Arabidopsis thaliana: one gene and its partners. The protein of the gene in region 1 purifies or fractionates together with the protein of each later gene. This does not show direct contact. Each region holds a gene or a part of one and is shown in the gene's direction. Other genes may lie near its edges.

Region 1 (4,855 bases):
CGATATAGGGGTCCCGGGTTATAGCTGCGACAATGCTACATCCGTGTCCCCGACTAAGTTTAGTACTGATAAGGGCCGTCGCAAAACACAAGCTCTAGGTAACCAAAATTATATAAATTGCAATATAATTACAAAAAGAAGTTGAGAAATGTAGAAACATGTTATACATAGGTTTTTTGAGTTATGTAACATAAGATATGTGGTGTTGAGTGCAGCAACATGGGAGGCAGTGTGTGTATACTCGCAGTTTCGGTCATCACCATCGCCAAAATGCTGCGTTTCACTCTCTGCCTTCTACTACCAAAACATTGTTCCTTGTCCTACCTGTAGCTGCGGCTGCTCGAGTTCCCATTGTGTCAAGTAATTCACTTTTCTAAACCTTTCACTTTTTTTTGGATATAGATGTAACAACATGTATAATATATACTAGAGAGCAACATTTGATTGATCAGGGATGGAGAGTTGCCGCCATATCTTGAACAGAAACATGATCCAGATGAGGAAGTATCGCCTGTCGTGAAGTGTTCGGATCATATGTGTCCCATCCGCATCCACTGGCATGTGAAAGTGAACTATAGAGAGTATTGGAGGGTTAAGATCACAGCAACAAATTTCAACACAATGAAGAATTACACTAATTGGAACTTAGTGGTGCTTCATCCAAACTTGAAAAGCGTCCAACAAGTCTTTAGCTTTAACTACAAATCTTTGACACCATATCAAAACAGCATCAGTAAGGAAATTCTTTAAAAACCACACCATAGTCTCTTAGATTATTGGTCTAACATCACTTGTTCTTCGTGTGGTGTTATTTCAGATGACACAGGGATGTTTTGGGGAGTCCAGTTTTATAATGATGTTTTGCTTCAAGAAGGAAAGATTGGGAATGTTCAAACAGAGTTATTGCTGAAGAAGGATATGGGAAATTTCACTTTCAGAGAAGGTTGGGCTTTCCCAAGGAGAATCTTGTTCAATGGTGATGAATGTGTTATGCCTTCTCCAGATGACTTTCCAAGGCTGCCAAAATCTGCTCATTCCTCTTCGTCTTCCTCTGCTGTTATTAGCTCTGTTTCAGTCGTTTTCTGTTTTCTCCTTCATCATCTTCTTCTACTAGTTTGATGAGATTGTTTCTTTCATTTGAACCTACATTGTTCCATGCTTCTTTGACTTTTCCAAGAAACAAAGCCTCTAATAAAGCTTGCATCAAAAAGGATTAATATACAGTATTAGGATTTAGGAAGCATGTTCTGTGATGTCCATTCACATTTCTTGACCATTTGAGATTTAAAAGAACTAAGAATAAGGTAAGATATTTATGGTGTATTTATTAACCAATACACAAAGCCGGTTCGTCATATTGAAAGTTGAAACTAGTTATATATGGCCCACCATATCAAGCGGTGAAGTTCTATAAGTGGAAAGGAAAATTACTCTTACGAAGTCCTTGTAAACCAAGTAAATGAATAAGGCAATAGTACATGTATTCTAAGCTCTAATAAAATGGAAGTAAAGCAATATTTCTAAATTTTAATTGTTAAAAAAAGTTGAATGTCGCATTAAAATTATCACTCTTGTGAAAAAAAAAGAATAAAAGTTGAATGTCGCAATGTTTTTTTTTTGTTTTTTTCCTAAACATATAAATAACAAAATGGCATGTGTCATCACAATGTAAAATCTCATAAGAAAAATAAGGAAAAAGAATATTCGGAGCCAATAAGAATTTTATATTTACGTGAGAGACAAGTGGCCCAATTGACGGGCCCATATTGCAAAAACGCCTCTTTTTAAAACCCGCCTCTTCCTTCACACCAACCTTCACTTTTCTCTCAGATCTGCTTTGAGATTCTCCGATTGCATCTCAAAAAATCTCAGCTATGGCTACCTCCTCCGCTTGGAAGCTCGATGACCACCCCAAGCTCCCCAAGGGTAAGACCATCGCCGTAATCGTCTTAGATGGTTGGGGTGAATCTGCCCCTGATCAGTACAACTGTATCCACAACGCTCCAACTCCAGCCATGGATTCTCTTAAACATGTATGTTACCTCCTTAATCTTTGATTTTTGATGCTTTTTGGATTCATTGAACTTACTCTTGTTTCTCTATAGGGAGCTCCTGATACTTGGACTTTGATCAAAGCTCACGGTACTGCTGTAGGACTTCCTAGTGAAGATGATATGGGAAACAGTGAGGTTGGTCATAATGCTCTTGGTGCTGGTCGTATCTTTGCTCAAGGTGCTAAGCTTTGTGACCAAGCTCTTGCTTCTGGCAAAATCTTTGAAGGTGAAGGTTTTAAATACGTTTCTGAATCTTTCGAGACGAATACTTTGCATCTTGTTGGACTTCTCAGTGACGGTGGAGTTCACTCTCGTCTCGATCAACTACAGGTTTTGATTTGATATGTTCTTCATTATTTTGTTCAAATTCTGGTTTAATGTTTGTTGATGATTCCTTAAACTTGTTGTTGCTTTTGCGCAGTTGTTGATTAAAGGATCTGCTGAACGTGGTGCTAAGAGAATCAGAGTCCATATTCTTACTGATGGTCGTGATGTTTTGGATGGTTCTAGTGTTGGATTTGTGGAAACCCTTGAAGCCGACCTCGTTGCATTACGTGAGAATGGTGTGGATGCTCAGATTGCATCTGGTGGAGGACGTATGTATGTGACTTTGGACCGATATGAGAATGATTGGGAAGTTGTTAAAAGAGGTTGGGATGCTCAAGTTCTTGGAGAAGCTCCTCACAAATTCAAAAACGCTGTTGAAGCTGTGAAGACTTTGAGGAAAGAGCCTGGTGCTAATGACCAGTATTTGCCCCCGTTTGTGATTGTTGATGAATCAGGGAAAGCAGTTGGTCCGATTGTGGACGGTGATGCTGTTGTTACCTTCAACTTCAGGGCTGATCGTATGGTTATGCATGCTAAGGCACTTGAGTACGAAGATTTTGACAAATTTGACCGTGTGAGGTACCCAAAGATTCGTTATGCTGGTATGCTTCAGTATGATGGAGAGCTTAAGCTACCAAGCCGTTACCTTGTTTCTCCCCCGGAGATTGATAGAACATCTGGTGAATATTTGACTCACAATGGCGTCAGTACTTTTGCTTGCAGGTATTTCAACTTCTGTCCTTTTCTCACTTTGAGTAATGGTTATATGCTTTGTTTAGTATAGTTCCAGTTGCTTGCTCATTATAGGTCTATACTATGCTTTGCATTTTTGCCAATAGTGTATCACGCTTGAACTGATCATATATATTAATGTATGTGACTGAAACAGTGAGACCGTCAAGTTTGGGCATGTCACCTTCTTCTGGAATGGAAATCGATCTGGATATTTCAACGAGAAATTGGAGGAGTATGTTGAAATCCCAAGTGACAGTGGAATATCATTCAATGTCCAGCCAAAGATGAAAGCTCTGGAAATTGGTGAGAAGGCAAGGGATGCAATCCTTAGTGGCAAGTTTGATCAGGTGAGATGGATGCATAGTCTTATGATCTTATAATCGAACATCCCAGGAAATAAGCAGTGATCATCTTATGTTTCAATATTGATTTTCAGGTGCGAGTTAACATTCCAAATGGAGATATGGTGGGTCATACAGGTGATATTGAAGCCACGGTTGTTGCATGCGAGGCTGCTGATCTTGCTGTGAAGGTATGTTTTATAAGTTTATTGACAAGTCTTAATGATGATATGTGTGAGTGTGTGACTTAGCCCACAAATGGTTTGGTTGTTGCAGATGATTTTTGATGCAATCGAACAAGTGAAAGGAATTTATGTTGTGACTGCTGATCACGGAAACGCAGAGGACATGGTGAAGAGGGATAAATCTGGCAAGCCTGCTTTGGATAAGGAAGGGAAGCTTCAGATTCTAACCTCTCACACACTCAAGCCAGTAAGTCCATATCTGTAATCTGTGTTATTACCATAACATAAACCATTGGACCATATCTGATGGGAGATTGTAATTATTGTTTGTAGGTGCCAATTGCTATTGGAGGTCCTGGTTTGGCTCAAGGAGTGAGATTCCGTAAAGATCTGGAAACACCGGGGCTTGCAAATGTAGCTGCAACAGTGATGAACCTCCATGGATTTGTGGCTCCCTCTGACTATGAGCCCACCCTGATTGAAGTAGTGGAGTAGAAGAATTGAGAGCCTTATCAGTTTTTGAAGAGAGGGCTGAAACTCTCTAGTTATCTTTTGTTGCTTTTCTAATAATAAGAGTTTACACACAGACTACTTGTATTTTTGATTTTGGCTTTAGGCCAAAAACATTGAAATTCCATCTTGAATGATATGCAAGCTTTTTTCTTTCTCTCCCATACGATCTCTTCTAGCCAAGGATAAAATTTGCATTGAAAGAGAGGAGGATTAAACATCTTCAGATTGTACTTACATTTGGAACCAAATAGATCCTGAAGCATTCAAATTTCTTGACTCTTGCAAAGCATACAAACAGAGAATATATCATAACCTTTTTACAAAGTCATGACTCATATTAAAAAAACTTACCAATACAAAGTCAAGCTACGTCTCCTTAAAACTTGTAAGCAATACAAAACTCAAGTTTTTATGCAGAAGCTTCCATGGCTATGGCTATGTCCTCTTCCTCTCCAGTGGCTAGCTTAGCTTCTTTCAGTTTGTGAGAATCTTCAACATCCTCTTGTTTCTTCAATGCCTGTGCTCGGAAACCGACCATTATCTCCTCTGCTTTTTCAACCATTGCCAACATATTCCCATAGCGAGTCTGCAGTTTACTCTCTGTTTCCTTTTGCTTTATCACTTCCTCTTGCAAATTCTTTTTCCTAAAAGATGCAGCCATCTCTTCTTGCCTCTTCAATGCTTTAAAGCACTCTACTTC
Region 2 (4,575 bases), on another chromosome or scaffold:
ATAACTTTGTGTATGGAATCTCCTTTTCTATAATCCTTTAACAAGCATTGCCACAGATTGATAGTTTGATTCTCAACTTAACTAGAAGCTCCAGAGTTTATTTCATGTGATGGAAAAAATCACAGTTCCATGTGAATTCCGTCTATTTATACGCGATGGAGGAACTTATCCATTGATACTAACAATTAGTAAAATAACTGGCGTAGGGTCAAAAAAGAACTAATCTGGTAGTATTGTTGTTTAAGTGATCTCTCTGATTGAGAAATATGCTGTTTCTTGTTTTGTTCAGGTTTATGCCTATCACCGGTCTCTTCCCATGCCAATTACCTCGTACAAGTTTGGTTCTATTGATCCAATATCAGGTAAGGAGATAGAGGAGGACAACAACCTGTTCGTTTCAAGCGTTTGCTGGAGAAAAAGATCGAATATGGTTGTTTCAGCTAGCTCAAATGGGTCAATCAAAGTTCTACAGTTGGTCTGAAATAAATACATACATACAGAAGAAGCTGAGGTAATTCTACACCTAGAGCCCTCTTGGTTTATGGTAAAACAAAAACCCCATCAATCCAAGAATCAGGCAAAACAACGGAGATAACGAACAAGCTTTCAACACACAGATATGAGATAGTTTTATCTATCTGTTGCTAAAGTTTTCCTCAAATGGGGTGAAGGAATGAGAGTGAGTAGAACTATAGTTGTTCAATAGTTGCGGTTTGATCAGCGCGGTAAGGGTTTATACCGCTGATGGGTATACATAGTAAGGTAAAAGACCTTCTCTTTTGTGGTGTTCTAAGGTGTTTATTTTTTTATTTTTTATTTTGGCTCTTACAATAAGATTCCTCTTTGTGATATGTAAATTTGCTCCGATAGTTCTAAGGTAAAAGAGCATACTCTGATGTATATATAGTTGAAATGAGCTTTTTAGTTCTACGGATGAATCTCCTCCACCAAGAAAAGAAAAATCTTCGTTTTTCTTTTTAAAAACTTTAAATGCATCGTTTTTTGTTGAATGTTCACAAAAGTAATCTTTGAAATGCTTTATCATTGTACATAGCTTAGGACTGAATCAGCGTAATAACGTTATCAAGGTTTCTTGCTCAATCAAGCTGCTCCAACTTGTTTATGGTCTTCTTCACTTGGTACTGAAAACTTTTTTACTTTCTGAGACAAACAACAACAGAAGATGAATCAAGGCCTTGCTCAATCTAAGATCAAGCTGTCTTACATCTATGAGAAAGACTTAAGAATCACAAAGAAGAATTCATAGTGAACTAGTGAAGCATGCCATATGGAAAAACAATTGTTCAAAAACTCCAATTGAGGAAATGTTGGAAAAAGAAAAGAACAAACCTTAGATAGAACACATTCTCAGAGAGATTGCAGTAGAATTAGACATTTCTCTTGATCGAATTTCGATTCCGAAACACAATTGAGAAGATTCACAGCTTCTTGTCGTCAAATTGGTAGGGGAAGCTTTTTCTCCATTATCATAAACCCTAAACTAAAAGTTTCTGCAAAAACAACTATTTTATCGAACTCTTAATGGGCCATCAATGGGCCCATACTTATAAACTTAAACCCTTTTCCAATTTCAGTCGTATTTTACAAAAACCATCACCGTCGTTATCACAGTAACCAAACAACTTTCATCGCCGGGTAAGCTCCATTCCCAAGCTATTTCGATCTCGTTTCACGTCGATCTATTTCTAGTCAAGTTAATCTCTTCTTTTAGGGTTTAATTAGTTAAGACTTGCGTTTGATTATCTCAAGTTCAGAATTTGTTTCTTGATGATCTAAAGGAAGGAATTTTATACTTATCAAATTGAGGATTTTTGTTTTTGGATGCAGAGAACTGATTAACATATAAGAAAATGGCGTTTGCTAGAGCAGTGAGAAGACCAATTGGAGTCTTTTATTATAGTGTTAGTAGTAGATTTAGTTCTGGAAATGAGTATTCTACTGTGGCAAGCAAATTCGAAACTTTGTCTCAGTACAAAAGCTCTGTACCGTCTGGTTACACAAGCCTTGTTCGTGGTTTTGGGAATTTCATACGGAGTTTTAGTTCGGAAGCTCCTCCTGCTGTATCTGACCAAATGAGTCTTATTAAGCAACTTAGGGAAAGAACTAGTGCTCCTATTAAAGATGTTAAGGCTTCTTTAGTTGAATGCAATTGGGATCTTGGTAAGAATTTGGTTTAGGTTTTTTGTTTTGGTGAAGGTTGTGTATGTTTTGTTGTGTTTTGAAGTGGGTTTTTTTGGATTTGACACAGAGGCTGCTCAGAAGGATTTGAGAAAGAGAGGGAAAGTTTTGGCTTCGAAAAAGTCGTCACGGACTGCTGCAGAAGGAATGCTTGCCGTTGCTCAAAATGAAGGGAAAGTTGCTGTTATTGAACTTAACTGTGAGACTGATTTTGTTGCTAGGAATGAGATTTTCCAGTACTTGGTTAGTCCCATAGCAATTTCACATTGGTTGTTGCTGAATGATGGGCTTTTTGTTTATTTTACTGTTCCTTGTCTTCTAAAATTGACATGTCTTGCAGGCTTTAGCTATGGCAAAACATGCTTTGCTGGTTGAGAGTAGTTCGCAGCAAGTTTCTGGTGTCTTCCCCTTTGGGCCGGAGCTTTTTGAGGTCAGTTTTTTATGTACTCGCTTGTTTCCTTTTTTGTTATTTAAATTTATGGATTTATGTTGTTTCCTTTGCACTGTCTGAGATATTGATATCAACTTTTCATTTCTAATCACTCTAATGGATGCTATCAGGAGTTCAAGCTTAACCTCGATCATCCAAAAGTTAATGGTGAAACAACGGTTTCAAACGCTGTTACAGAAGTAGCTGCAATCATGGGAGAGAATGTAAAATTTAGGAGAGGTTTCTTGATGTCAAAATCTTCAGCAGGCGTCCTTTCTGCATATCTTCACACAAGTCCTCAACCAGGTACAATTTGTTCAATATACTTCCCATTGTTTCTAATCTCTTTTTTTATGATATTTCTGTGCATTTCTAACTTTAAAAAAAAAAATGAGAATAGGGTTGGGTCGTATAGCTGGGATTGTATCTCTCGAAGTAGAAGGTGAAAATACTCAACTAGAGGCTATTCAGCGTGTAGGCTCAGAACTGGCTATGCATGTTGTAGCAGCAAAGCCTTTGTTTTTAAGCAAAGACCTTGTTTCTTCTGAAGCAATGGCAAATGAACGCGAGATTCTAAAGTCTCAGGTTAGTGTCACTTTATGTTATGAAATTGAACTGTAATTTGTAAAAAGTACACAACCTGCGTTAGAAAAGTTTGCTTATCAAATGTTGTATATGACAGGCAGAAAGTACAGGCAAGAATCAGATGGCGATAGAGAAGATTGTGGAAGGGCGTCTCCGTAAGTATTTTGAAGAAGTTGCTCTAATGGAGCAAAAGTTTATTGTGAACGATGCTATAAACATTAAGGTATGTGGGTCTTAGCTTAAAACACCTAGTTTACCGTTTTATTACCTCTGCATCGCTTGTTGAATTCAACTCTTGGGCTCCTATTCCACAGACACTGGTGGATAATTTGTCCAAGGAGGTAGGTTCTCCAGTGAAGGTTACCGATTTTCTTAGAGTCGAGGTTGGGGAAGGAATCGAAAGGTAAACTAACCGTCACCCGTATGTCCAGTACGGCTTATCATTGTTGTAAGATTAGTCGCTTATGAATTTTGTTTTTTTTGAAGGCTTGAAGCATCTGATGAACCAGTTGCTCAAACTGCTTGAAGACAAAGAATCAACGACATGGTTTTAGATTTACAGAACTCTTTCCTTCTTTGGTTCCTTTAGAGTTCATGGCTTCAACGCCTTCTTGAGATTATAGAATCTTTCTCATGATTTTGTTTCTCACACAATATGGCAATAAGAGTGATTGTGCCTAGGAAGCTATGACCAGAAAAAAAAAACATGTTTGTGTTCTCCTACTCCTACTAAGATCATTATACAAAAACCTTCACTTATGTGTTTGATTTTAAGGTACTCAAGTATTTGAATAAGCAGATAGTGAGTTCTTGGCTCCTCCGGTTACCAACGGTCGAAATTGACGGTTTAATATAATTCATAGACAAAACCGGTCAACTTTATATTATCCACAATCAACGATCAAGATCAACGAGAACTAATCTTACGGTTGATATCATACATCTGTATTGAGTTACAGTACACCACAAAACACTCAATAAACACTAAGCACTCTTCTTCTACCTTTTGATTTTCGAAAAACGCAAACTTTCTGAAAAAGCAAAAACTTCTGATTCTCTCGAGAATCATTTACTCTTCACACTGTCCCCGTCTCTCTTTCTCTTGGGTTAATCATGGTGTCAGAGACGACGACGAACCGATCAACGGTTAAAATCTCAAACGTTCCTCAAACCATAGTCGCCGACGAACTCCTCCGGTTCTTAGAACTCCACCTCGGCGAAGATACTGTATTCGCACTCGAAATCCCAACAACTCGTGACAATTGGAAGCCAAGAGACTTCGCTCGAGTACAATTCACTACCCTCGAAGTCAAATCTCGAGCCCAGCTTCTCTCTTCTCAAAGCAAGCTCCTTTTCAAAAC
Region 3 (4,588 bases), on another chromosome or scaffold:
ATCACAAGGTGGTGATTATTTCTTCTTTTGAATTCCCATTTTGTTGGCTTCTTCCTCGCGTTGATCATTAGAGTTTTGCTATAATTTATTAGTTCATAGGAGAAGAAACTACAGCTGCATTTGGTGTGACAGAACTAACTGACGAACCAACTTGGATTGTTGATCCTCTTGATGGAACAACCAATTTCGTTCACGGGTATTATCATTATTGATCAATTCCCATTTGAATGACCTGTGTGTTTCATTTGCCCATTTCATCAAAAACAAAAACAAATGCTGTTTTTTTTTTGTAGGTTCCCTTTCGTGTGTGTTTCCATTGGACTTACGATTGGAAAAGTCCCTGTTGTTGGAGTTGTTTATAATCCTATTATGGAAGAGGTAAAAGATTGTGTATTCCATTGTTTCAAGTTTCTTCGATCGTTACAACTTACCATTATACATAGTTTCCTTGATGGTGCTCTGTACATGCATGTTTCAAGATTTTTCTCAATTCTTACATAATATCTAATGATCAAACAGCTATTCACCGGTGTCCAAGGGAAAGGAGCATTCTTGAATGGAAAGCGAATCAAAGGTTAGCACTTGTTCTAGAGACCTAATAAAAAATTTCTTGATCTCTTTTTATGGCATCCGGAGTATAGCTATCACTTGTTCAGAGACTTGAGTTCTCTTCCTTCTTTTCAACTCAAACAATGTTCTTTTTGCAGTGTCAGCTCAAAGCGAACTTTTAACCGCTTTGCTCGTGACAGAGGTAAAAATCTGGCTCCTTTGTGTTAGACTACTAAAACTAGATTGCTATGAAGCCTCCTCTCATCGCTAATGTGACCAATTGAATATAGGCGGGTACTAAACGAGATAAAGCTACATTAGACGATACAACCAACAGAATCAACAGTTTGCTAACCAAGGTAAAAGTTTATCGATAGATATTTGGAACTCCACCAATTTGGTTCTAGTCTCTGCCAAAACTCATGATTGTTGTGTCCTTCATTCATCAGGTCAGGTCCCTTAGGATGAGTGGTTCGTGTGCACTGGACCTCTGTGGCGTTGCGTGTGGAAGGGTTGATATCTTCTACGAGCTCGGTTTCGGTGGTCCATGGTAAATTGTCTTCTTTTTTTTTTCCTTGCTTGGATTAAAAAAGGGGATTTCTTTCTTGTACAAACAAAATTAGATCCTGATGATGGCATAATAATATCAAATCTTTCACAGGGACATTGCAGCAGGAATTGTTATCGTGAAAGAAGCTGGTGGACTCATCTTTGATCCGTAAGAGTTTGAGATTAAACCAAACACACTCACTCTCAAACCGTCCAACTGATTATAACTAACTGTTTTATGTCGTCTTTGTTCATCAGATCCGGTAAAGATTTGGACATAACATCGCAGAGGATCGCGGCTTCAAACGCTTCTCTCAAGGAGTTATTCGCTGAGGCGTTGCGGCTTACAGGGGCATGAAGTCATCTGTTATTATTTTACAATATGGTCTCAACCTTATATGATCAAACTCAATTCAAAAACTTAACATTATTGAATATTTCTTTTCGGTAGAAAGAAAACAAACTCAATTGTTGAGAAAAAAAAAAAACTATTTTCTTTCTGCTACCCTTTGTGAATTCAATTAAAAAAAAATCATATGTTTGGTATTGAATGATATAATTCTGTTCTTCCATGTAGTTGATCTTTGTAATCGAGTTTGCATTTTTTTTTTTTTTATAAAAGGTGGAGTTTAAGGTATTTTGTGATCCATACTAAATTAACAACAGAGGAAAATGGGGATAATGAGTCCGGCCCAGTTACGACTAACGACCCAGAAGCATCCCGAAAGTCTCAAGTCTAATCCCGAGTTGGATCGACCCGACCCGTAAAAGAGAAGAGATTGCGGAGAAGAACGGAGGGAGGAATTTTGATTCTCACGGTGACTGTTGTCCTCCTCTAAGGACTTAGGGTTTGATTTGAATAGAACAAATTTCTCAGATCTTCGTATTCCTTGCGAGGTTGTGATAATTTGGGAGTTGCGTGGGTTGCTACGAAGGAGAGTGATGGATGCTCAAGCGAAGAAGAAGGCCATGTTCCGGTCTAAACTCAACGCCAAGAAGAAAGACACCCGCATAGATTCTCCTCTCGTTAGGTAAACCGTTGTTAGCTTCTTCTTCTCTTCGTTTCGATGTCACTTCTGGGTTTCTACAATTCCAAATATTTGTGGGTTCTGGGGATTGGGCTTGAGCTGTAGTTGGGATGAAGAGTTTGTTCTTTGGATTTGTAGGTACAACGAATCAGACCAGCCTGTGTGTCGAGTTTGCAATGTCGTCTTGAAATCTGAATCACTCTGGGATGTACATCAAGCTTCTCGTAAGCACCACGAGGTAAACTTAGTGTCTTCTGCTCCATAAGCTTTACTTCACAATCTCTTATAACCTGAGTAACAACAATGGGATATTTGATAAATTACATACATTGAAGATAGGTAGATTTCATGCTCTTATATGATTTTATGCGTTAGATTCTCTGTTTTATGTTCTTTAATCTTATTAACTTAGCTTTCGTAATGTAACGTTTGGACAGGCCATTGATAGTCTCAAGGCTAGTGCAGCGGGAGTCCAACGGGGTAGCAAACCTGCTGAAACTCGGCCAACGAAAATTGAAGCTTTGGCTAAATCATCCAATTCTCAGACATCATCTGGTCTTCCGCCAAATTTCTTCGAAAATCGTGAGCCTGCTAGAGGTAATGACTAATGCACTTTCCTCTTCTTGTTCTTATCTTTTTCGAATAATTTTCTTAGTAGAAGGCTTTTGGTTTAGGTGCTAGTTATGTGGATGCCATGCTTAAAGGCTCTAGTCTTAGGTTTTTTGAAAGATTGATGATAGTTTCATTCGTCAATCGAAAAAAAAAACTTATTGATCAAATATATGTGCAGCAGAAGTAGAACCAGCAAAATCCAAGAATTTAGAGCAATCAAAGCACACTATAGGATCTGAAACAAATAAGTCAAAGGGACCTCTTCCAGCCGGATTCTTTGATAATCAGAAAACTGATTCTTCAAATACCAAAACCACCAGTGAACCTAAACAGAGTCAGACACAGACCACTGGTCCAGAAACAAAACCAATGGTGAATGGAAACCTTCCAACCGGTTTTTTTGATAATAAAGAAGCTGACCTGCTTGCCCATGGAATCAAGCTCGTCAAACCAGATATCAAGTGAGTTTCTTCTCTTTTTTTTTTTGTTGCTTTTACTTTTCCAGATGCAGAAAATCAAAGTGAAACCTCATTGTTGTGGACCTTGTGATCCAGTTACTTTCCTACATTCTCAATTTGAATGGTTCATATGATCTTATGGGTTTGTACCTAAGAATTCTCTTCGTGAACTTATATAAACATGGATCTTCTTACAGGGATGAATATAAAGAATTTGAGAAGTTGATACAAGATGATTTGCAGGTAGTGGATAGCCGCATGGAAGAAGAAGAGGTCAGATAACTTTCTGTCACTATGATAAATTGCTGACAGTATCATAAGCTCTTTCTTAAACTTAAAATCGCTTTTCTCGCACTCTAATTGTCAGGTTGATGCTGCGGAAACTATAGAAGAGGAGGAACAACGAGAGCAAAGGTAATTTGATTCATTACTTTGTTATAGCAAGAAGATGGAAATGTTGAGACTTGTTTAAGATTAAGTAAACACTTGGCTTCTCCTTTTAATCTTATTCTGCAGATCATACAAAGAGAAAGTAGAGATTCTGAAGAGGAAGAAAATGGAACTTAAAGCGGCAAGATTAGCGAAGCGCAGTAAAACCTCTGAGGGGTCTGTTAAAAAGCCGAAGAAGACAGAAGAAGAATCGCCCAGCGATGAGGAGGATGACGAGGATTCTGCTGTTGATTGGAGAGCTCAACATCTTTGAATAAACTAGAAAAGACTGTTTAAAAATCTGTACCCTGGTAAAACATACAATGTTCTATGAGAATATACAGTGAAAACTAATCAATCTCATATATATACAATTATCAGTTTCAGAGGATCAATTGGTATTTGAGGTATAGTTATCGGTTAATGGGTATAATTCAAGAACGTAATTTTCATAACCAGAGTTGCCAAAAAGGCCGAAATATCTGGGGATGAAACCTGAAACTGTGGCAGTTCCGACCAGTTTCAGGTGATAAACTAAAAAAAAAAAAGTGATTATGACTGGTGGTCGTATCATTCTAGTTTTGAGTGAGAATGTTTCAGATATTGATCATTTGGTGGCACAAAACATAATGACGAAAGTGGTAAATTTAACAATCATCTTTAAAGTTAAAACTCTTATTATTGTTAAACAAATACATGTGGAATAATAAATAATTGAGACAATTCCAGAAACCAATTAGGGGTCAAATATGTCGAGAAACTAATTAGGGGTCAAGTATTGAAGAAGGAAGAAGACCACTAACTAAACATATTCATATTTTTTTGTGAATTTTTGGACTATTTGTGATTACCAACCATATGCTTATATAACTTATAAAAAAAATGCATTAGGCTTTCCACTATAAACCATTGACATTTGAAATATTTAAATCAAGATATATGCATAACCAAAAAAAAAAGGGT
Region 4 (4,339 bases), on another chromosome or scaffold:
ATTTATGGTGTGTAAACATAAATTAAGAATTGAATCATGCACAAAAAATAAGACAAGCATTTATGAATAGTTTCTAGAAGTGGTGAATCATCCACTGCTATCGTCGATACAACATTTACTAAAGTTTCTATATATAAGTGGAGGGATGATCAGTGTGACCATGCCATGATTTCTAACTTTTTTGAGAGAGCGAGGTTATTATGATAAACATTTAAAATAATACGTGGAACTGAGATGAATGGAAAATAATCTTTATAAAAGAGAAAAAAAAAAATAGAAGATCTCATGATAATAAAAGTACTTCCATATGTTTTCAATGTGAAGAAAAGAATAGTAAAGGAGATACATCCAATAGCTTAGTCTAGAAAAGAGCTGACTAATTTTTTTTAAAAACAAGATCTCTGGTTTGTATATTTGTATCGATTACACAGCCTAGATATATAAAACACAAAACTTGATGGAGACAATTTCATATCCTATATATACACATTAATTTAATGAGTGAATAGTAATAGCAACTAGCAAGGCAATCTAAACAAAATTAAGAAAAGAAAAATGTTAAATTCCTGAGATCTATAATAACTCATAAGCAAAAAATATATTTAAAAAAATCATACAAATGTTGTAATAATATCATTTTGTTTTAATGTGGAGTGATAAAAAGAAGATAGGACGAAAGAAGAAACTGTTAAAGGCGATTGTAGATGCTGTAGGGACGGATAAATGGACTATGACATCAGTTTCCGTTACTTGTTTCTTCTCGAACTCAAAGAAGAAAGAAAAAAAAAAAAAAAATTCTACATCGGTACGCTTTCGTTTCACACCCTGCATGCACACAGTGTCCGGTAGTCAAAAATACAAAAAAAAGAAAAAAAACCTCGAGACATGCTAAATTTGGATAATGATTAATAATTTGGGGGTACACAATGTTCCAAATAATTTATATACAAAGTCTTGCTTTCATATTATTTGTGTGTCCACACTTCAACAATATAGTATTATACTATTATCCCTATCCCCTATGAAGTATGAACACACTTTTTATGATACGTATCATATTCAGAAAACATCAAAAATTGGTCATAACTCTCACGTGGTGTGGTGGATTTGCCTCGCCTTTCGTTTCTGTTTTTTGCAAATATTTAAGAATCTTTGGTCATTTAGGCTTTAATTTAGTTACTTTAAATTTATTTTTGTTATAGAAGTATTATGTTAAAAACAGTTCGTGTTCATCCTTGGACTAACCAGACGATTTGACAAAATCCGAATATCCGATCATAAAATTAAATAATCAGCCGTTATTGTTCCTCTACTACTACGTTTTAACTTTTAAGAACTTCTCCTGGTACTTTGATGGGCTATAAGAGCGGCCCAATATTTCGACTTTAAAATGGGCCAATCTTTGGTAAAGGCCCAATTATAGTGGCGCTTCTTCTTCTTCTTTTCCTAAACAAGCAATGGCATGGTTTAGCTGGTGAGCCAGTTTATAGGTAAAAAGGATAATTTAAGCCATTTAAAAAAACAAATCTTTAATGGCGTAATTCAAAAAACGTGCACACCTATCTAAGTACCAAACTCTTTATGTTATATAACTATTGTGACACAATTTCAAATTTGCTAACTCCCAAAAAAAATGGCGGCGTTTTTGCAAACGAACATCAGTCTGAATGCGATCAAGATCGTCCCGGGGAAATACAGTTCTCTCACCGATCATCAGTTTCGTGCGCCGTATCGAATTAGGTGCGCCGCCGCTTCACCTGGGAAAAAACGGTATAACATCGCTCTGCTTCCCGGAGACGGTATCGGTCCAGAAGTTATCTCTGTTGCTAAGAATGTGCTTCAGAAAGCTGGATCTCTCGAAGGTTCTTTCTCTTTCTCAATGGTTTTTGGAAACAACGAGTGTGTTTGCTTAGCCAGTAGATGATTGTGTCTTTGCTTTTGTATCACAGGACTGGAGTTTGATTTCAAGGAGATGCCTGTCGGAGGAGCAGCCTTGGATTTGGTTGGAGTTCCATTGCCGGAGGAAACTTTCACGGCTGCAAAACTATCTGATGCCATTCTTCTTGGAGCTATTGGAGGGTATGTGTGTGAGTGCTGTTTCTTTAGCAATCTGCTTCCAAATTTATTCTGATCTTGAGGTTTGGATGATTATTGTTCAGGTACAAATGGGACAAGAATGAGAAACATCTGAGACCTGAGATGGCTCTGTTTTACCTTAGAAGAGATCTCAAAGTCTTTGCTAATTTGAGACCTGCTACAGTTTTGCCACAGGTATCTTCGGTTTTGATTTGCTTAGCACTTGAATTTTGCTTCTAGTTGTAAATAAACTCAAATGTTTCTGTTTTGCTTGTTCAGCTAGTTGATGCTTCCACACTGAAGAAAGAAGTAGCAGAAGGTGTTGATATGATGATTGTTAGGGAGCTCACAGGAGGTATTTACTTTGGAGAGCCAAGAGGCATTACGATCAATGAAAATGGCGAAGAAGTCGGCGTTAGTACAGAGATCTACGCTGCTCACGAGGTAATAACCCTTCACACTGTGCTCTGTGACAATATTGGCAATGTATGGATATTAATGCATTGATTTATGTTCTTCAGATTGACAGAATTGCTCGTGTAGCATTCGAGACTGCTAGGAAAAGGCGTGGCAAACTTTGTTCTGTTGACAAAGCCAATGTGTTGGATGTACGTTCTGTTAGTTCACTGAATTGTTTTTCCACTTTTGTGTGTTTTACGAAATGCAAATTTCTTTGTTTCATGTAGGCATCAATATTGTGGAGGAAAAGAGTAACAGCTTTAGCCTCTGAATATCCAGATGTTGAACTATCACATATGTATGTCGATAATGCTGCAATGCAGCTTATTCGTGACCCGAAACAGGTGCTTCTCGCACATATATCAAACTTAGTCGTTGATTAAGCTAACTCAGAAGTGGAACTAGTACTCACGGTGTTTTTAAAACAATGCAGTTTGACACAATCGTTACCAATAACATTTTTGGTGATATATTGTCTGATGAAGCTTCAATGATCACTGGAAGCATTGGAATGCTTCCATCTGCTAGTCTCGGTGAATCGGTAAACAAAATTAACTAACATCTTTCAAGGCTCCTCCTGTTTATAAACTAATGCGAAATGTTAAACTTGTGATGAAATCAGGGACCTGGACTCTTTGAACCTATACATGGTTCAGCACCAGATATAGCTGGACAAGACAAGGCAAACCCATTGGCCACCATTCTCAGCGCGGCGATGCTTCTGAAGTATGGACTTGGAGAAGAAAAGGCTGCAAAGAGGATTGAAGACGCTGTCGTGGATGCTCTGAACAAAGGGTTCAGAACCGGAGACATCTACTCCCCTGGAAATGTATGTGCATGATGATTCTTATCATTTGTTTTGTACAAGTTCGTAACAAAATACTTAAAAAAGTCTTTTGTGTTTTGAAAATGCAGAAACTGGTGGGATGCAAGGAAATGGGTGAGGAGGTTCTCAAATCAGTGGAATCCAAAGTTCCAGCTACTGTTTAAGTTTATTGATGATTTGAAGCACTTGAAAAAGTTTGTGTAGCACTTGGTTTTACGGTCACTTATATGCTAATCCATGCAACATTGTACCTTTTATAATAAATAAATTATTTGGGATCGATTCTGCAATTCAAAGACAAGATTCTCCAAAAACATTTGACAGGTCTCCTGCCTTTACTTACCTTGTTCTTGAAGATTGAGAATTTCTCTTCAACTACAAGACTCAATATCTTCTTCAATCAATATTTGTTTAACGAAATAAGTTTCAAGAGAAGACAAGCTACTATGATTTTTAGTCTCAAGAGTCTTACATTTTTATACTGAAAACCAAACTTATAGAGCTTTACATTTAGAAAACCGAAAAAACTATCAATCATTAGGTTAGCCTTTGGATTCACGACGACGTATCAGATTTGCGTTCAGCGTCTGCGGCAGACTGCATTTGAGCTGCGTATTGTAAGTTCCAGAGAACATCTTCAAAGGAAGGTCTTGCGGAAGGTTCAAGCAAAACACATTTATTGGCGATTGAGATCGCAATCGATAAAGACTCCTGCGAGCTTGTTGTTAGGACTGTTGGACTTACTATTTTCTGCCGACCGTCTTGGCTCCCAAATGATGTCTGCAAACACAACATTGCAGCAACAGCTATTAACCAAATTTGTTTCAATCAAATAACAATGATGATGCTTTTTTTTTTTGCTTTTTCTCTTTGTTACCATTTCGTTGAGAAGAAAAGCCTCTCCTTTTGTAGTGGGCACTGGTCCTATCAGAGATTCCAGAAGTATGAATCCGAAGTTGTACACATCGTCCTCTCTTT

Evidence for each region.
Region 2: the proteins of iPGAM1 (region 1) and AT4G11120 fractionate together in Arabidopsis thaliana (co-fractionation; one large-scale study listed by BioGRID). This does not show direct contact.
Region 3: the proteins of iPGAM1 (region 1) and AT3G02860 fractionate together in Arabidopsis thaliana (co-fractionation; one large-scale study listed by BioGRID). This does not show direct contact.
Region 4: the proteins of iPGAM1 (region 1) and IMD1 fractionate together in Arabidopsis thaliana (co-fractionation; one large-scale study listed by BioGRID). This does not show direct contact.

The regions. Positions count from the first base shown.
Region 1 is NC_003070.9:3,164,832-3,169,686, reverse strand, and holds iPGAM1 (Phosphoglycerate mutase, 2,3-bisphosphoglycerate-independent), read left to right. Parts: upstream 1-1,762; 5' UTR 1,763-1,874; coding exon 1,875-2,033; intron 2,034-2,105; coding exon 2,106-2,384; intron 2,385-2,475; coding exon 2,476-3,104; intron 3,105-3,270; coding exon 3,271-3,463; intron 3,464-3,552; coding exon 3,553-3,648; intron 3,649-3,733; coding exon 3,734-3,889; intron 3,890-3,975; coding exon 3,976-4,137; 3' UTR 4,138-4,317; downstream 4,318-4,855. Other genes in the region: COBL6 (COBRA-like protein 6 precursor), read left to right, coding at 1-98, 216-360, 453-733, 818-1,119; CDC5 (cell division cycle 5), read right to left, coding at 4,565-4,855. UniProt on the Arabidopsis thaliana protein: Catalyzes the interconversion of 2-phosphoglycerate (2-PGA) and 3-phosphoglycerate (3-PGA). Required for guard cell function (e.g. blue light-, abscisic acid- (ABA), and low CO(2)-regulated stomatal movements) and fertility (e.g. pollen grains production).
Region 2 is NC_003075.7:6,776,195-6,780,769, forward strand, and holds AT4G11120 (translation elongation factor Ts (EF-Ts)), read left to right. Parts: upstream 1-1,557; 5' UTR 1,558-1,656; intron 1,657-1,848; 5' UTR 1,849-1,871; coding exon 1,872-2,181; intron 2,182-2,269; coding exon 2,270-2,442; intron 2,443-2,539; coding exon 2,540-2,629; intron 2,630-2,760; coding exon 2,761-2,935; intron 2,936-3,029; coding exon 3,030-3,214; intron 3,215-3,311; coding exon 3,312-3,437; intron 3,438-3,528; coding exon 3,529-3,617; intron 3,618-3,700; coding exon 3,701-3,740; 3' UTR 3,741-4,049; downstream 4,050-4,575. Other genes in the region: SPA2 (SPA1-related 2), read left to right, coding at 290-481; RDR2 (RNA-dependent RNA polymerase 2), read left to right, coding at 4,328-4,575. UniProt on the Arabidopsis thaliana protein: Associates with the EF-Tu.GDP complex and induces the exchange of GDP to GTP. It remains bound to the aminoacyl-tRNA.EF-Tu.GTP complex up to the GTP hydrolysis stage on the ribosome.
Region 3 is NC_003074.8:624,610-629,197, reverse strand, and holds AT3G02860 (zinc ion binding protein), read left to right. Parts: upstream 1-1,830; 5' UTR 1,831-2,040; coding exon 2,041-2,129; intron 2,130-2,264; coding exon 2,265-2,364; intron 2,365-2,563; coding exon 2,564-2,723; intron 2,724-2,916; coding exon 2,917-3,199; intron 3,200-3,393; coding exon 3,394-3,469; intron 3,470-3,563; coding exon 3,564-3,610; intron 3,611-3,712; coding exon 3,713-3,899; 3' UTR 3,900-4,035; downstream 4,036-4,588. Other genes in the region: VTC4 (Inositol monophosphatase family protein), read left to right, coding at 1-8, 93-196, 294-378, 520-574, 708-751, 840-908, 999-1,099, 1,211-1,267 and 1 more. UniProt on the Arabidopsis thaliana protein: Essential for breaking seed dormancy before seed germination. Prevents reactive oxygen species (ROS) accumulation in response to abscisic acid (ABA) and oxidative stress, probably by repressing the accumulation of ABA-induced ROS-scavenging enzymes (e.g.
Region 4 is NC_003076.8:4,574,587-4,578,925, forward strand, and holds IMD1 (isopropylmalate dehydrogenase 1), read left to right. Parts: upstream 1-1,536; 5' UTR 1,537-1,633; coding exon 1,634-1,862; intron 1,863-1,949; coding exon 1,950-2,079; intron 2,080-2,159; coding exon 2,160-2,271; intron 2,272-2,355; coding exon 2,356-2,520; intron 2,521-2,597; coding exon 2,598-2,684; intron 2,685-2,762; coding exon 2,763-2,879; coding exon of another isoform or gene 2,880-2,881; intron 2,882-2,968; coding exon 2,969-3,076; intron 3,077-3,157; coding exon 3,158-3,364; coding exon of another isoform or gene 3,365-3,376; exon of another isoform or gene 3,377-3,450; coding exon 3,451-3,525; 3' UTR 3,526-3,816; downstream 3,817-4,339. Other genes in the region: AT5G14210 (Leucine-rich repeat protein kinase family protein), read right to left, coding at 3,917-4,141, 4,239-4,339. UniProt on the Arabidopsis thaliana protein: Involved in both glucosinolate and leucine biosynthesis; catalyzes the oxidative decarboxylation step in both leucine biosynthesis (primary metabolism) and methionine chain elongation of glucosinolates (specialized metabolism).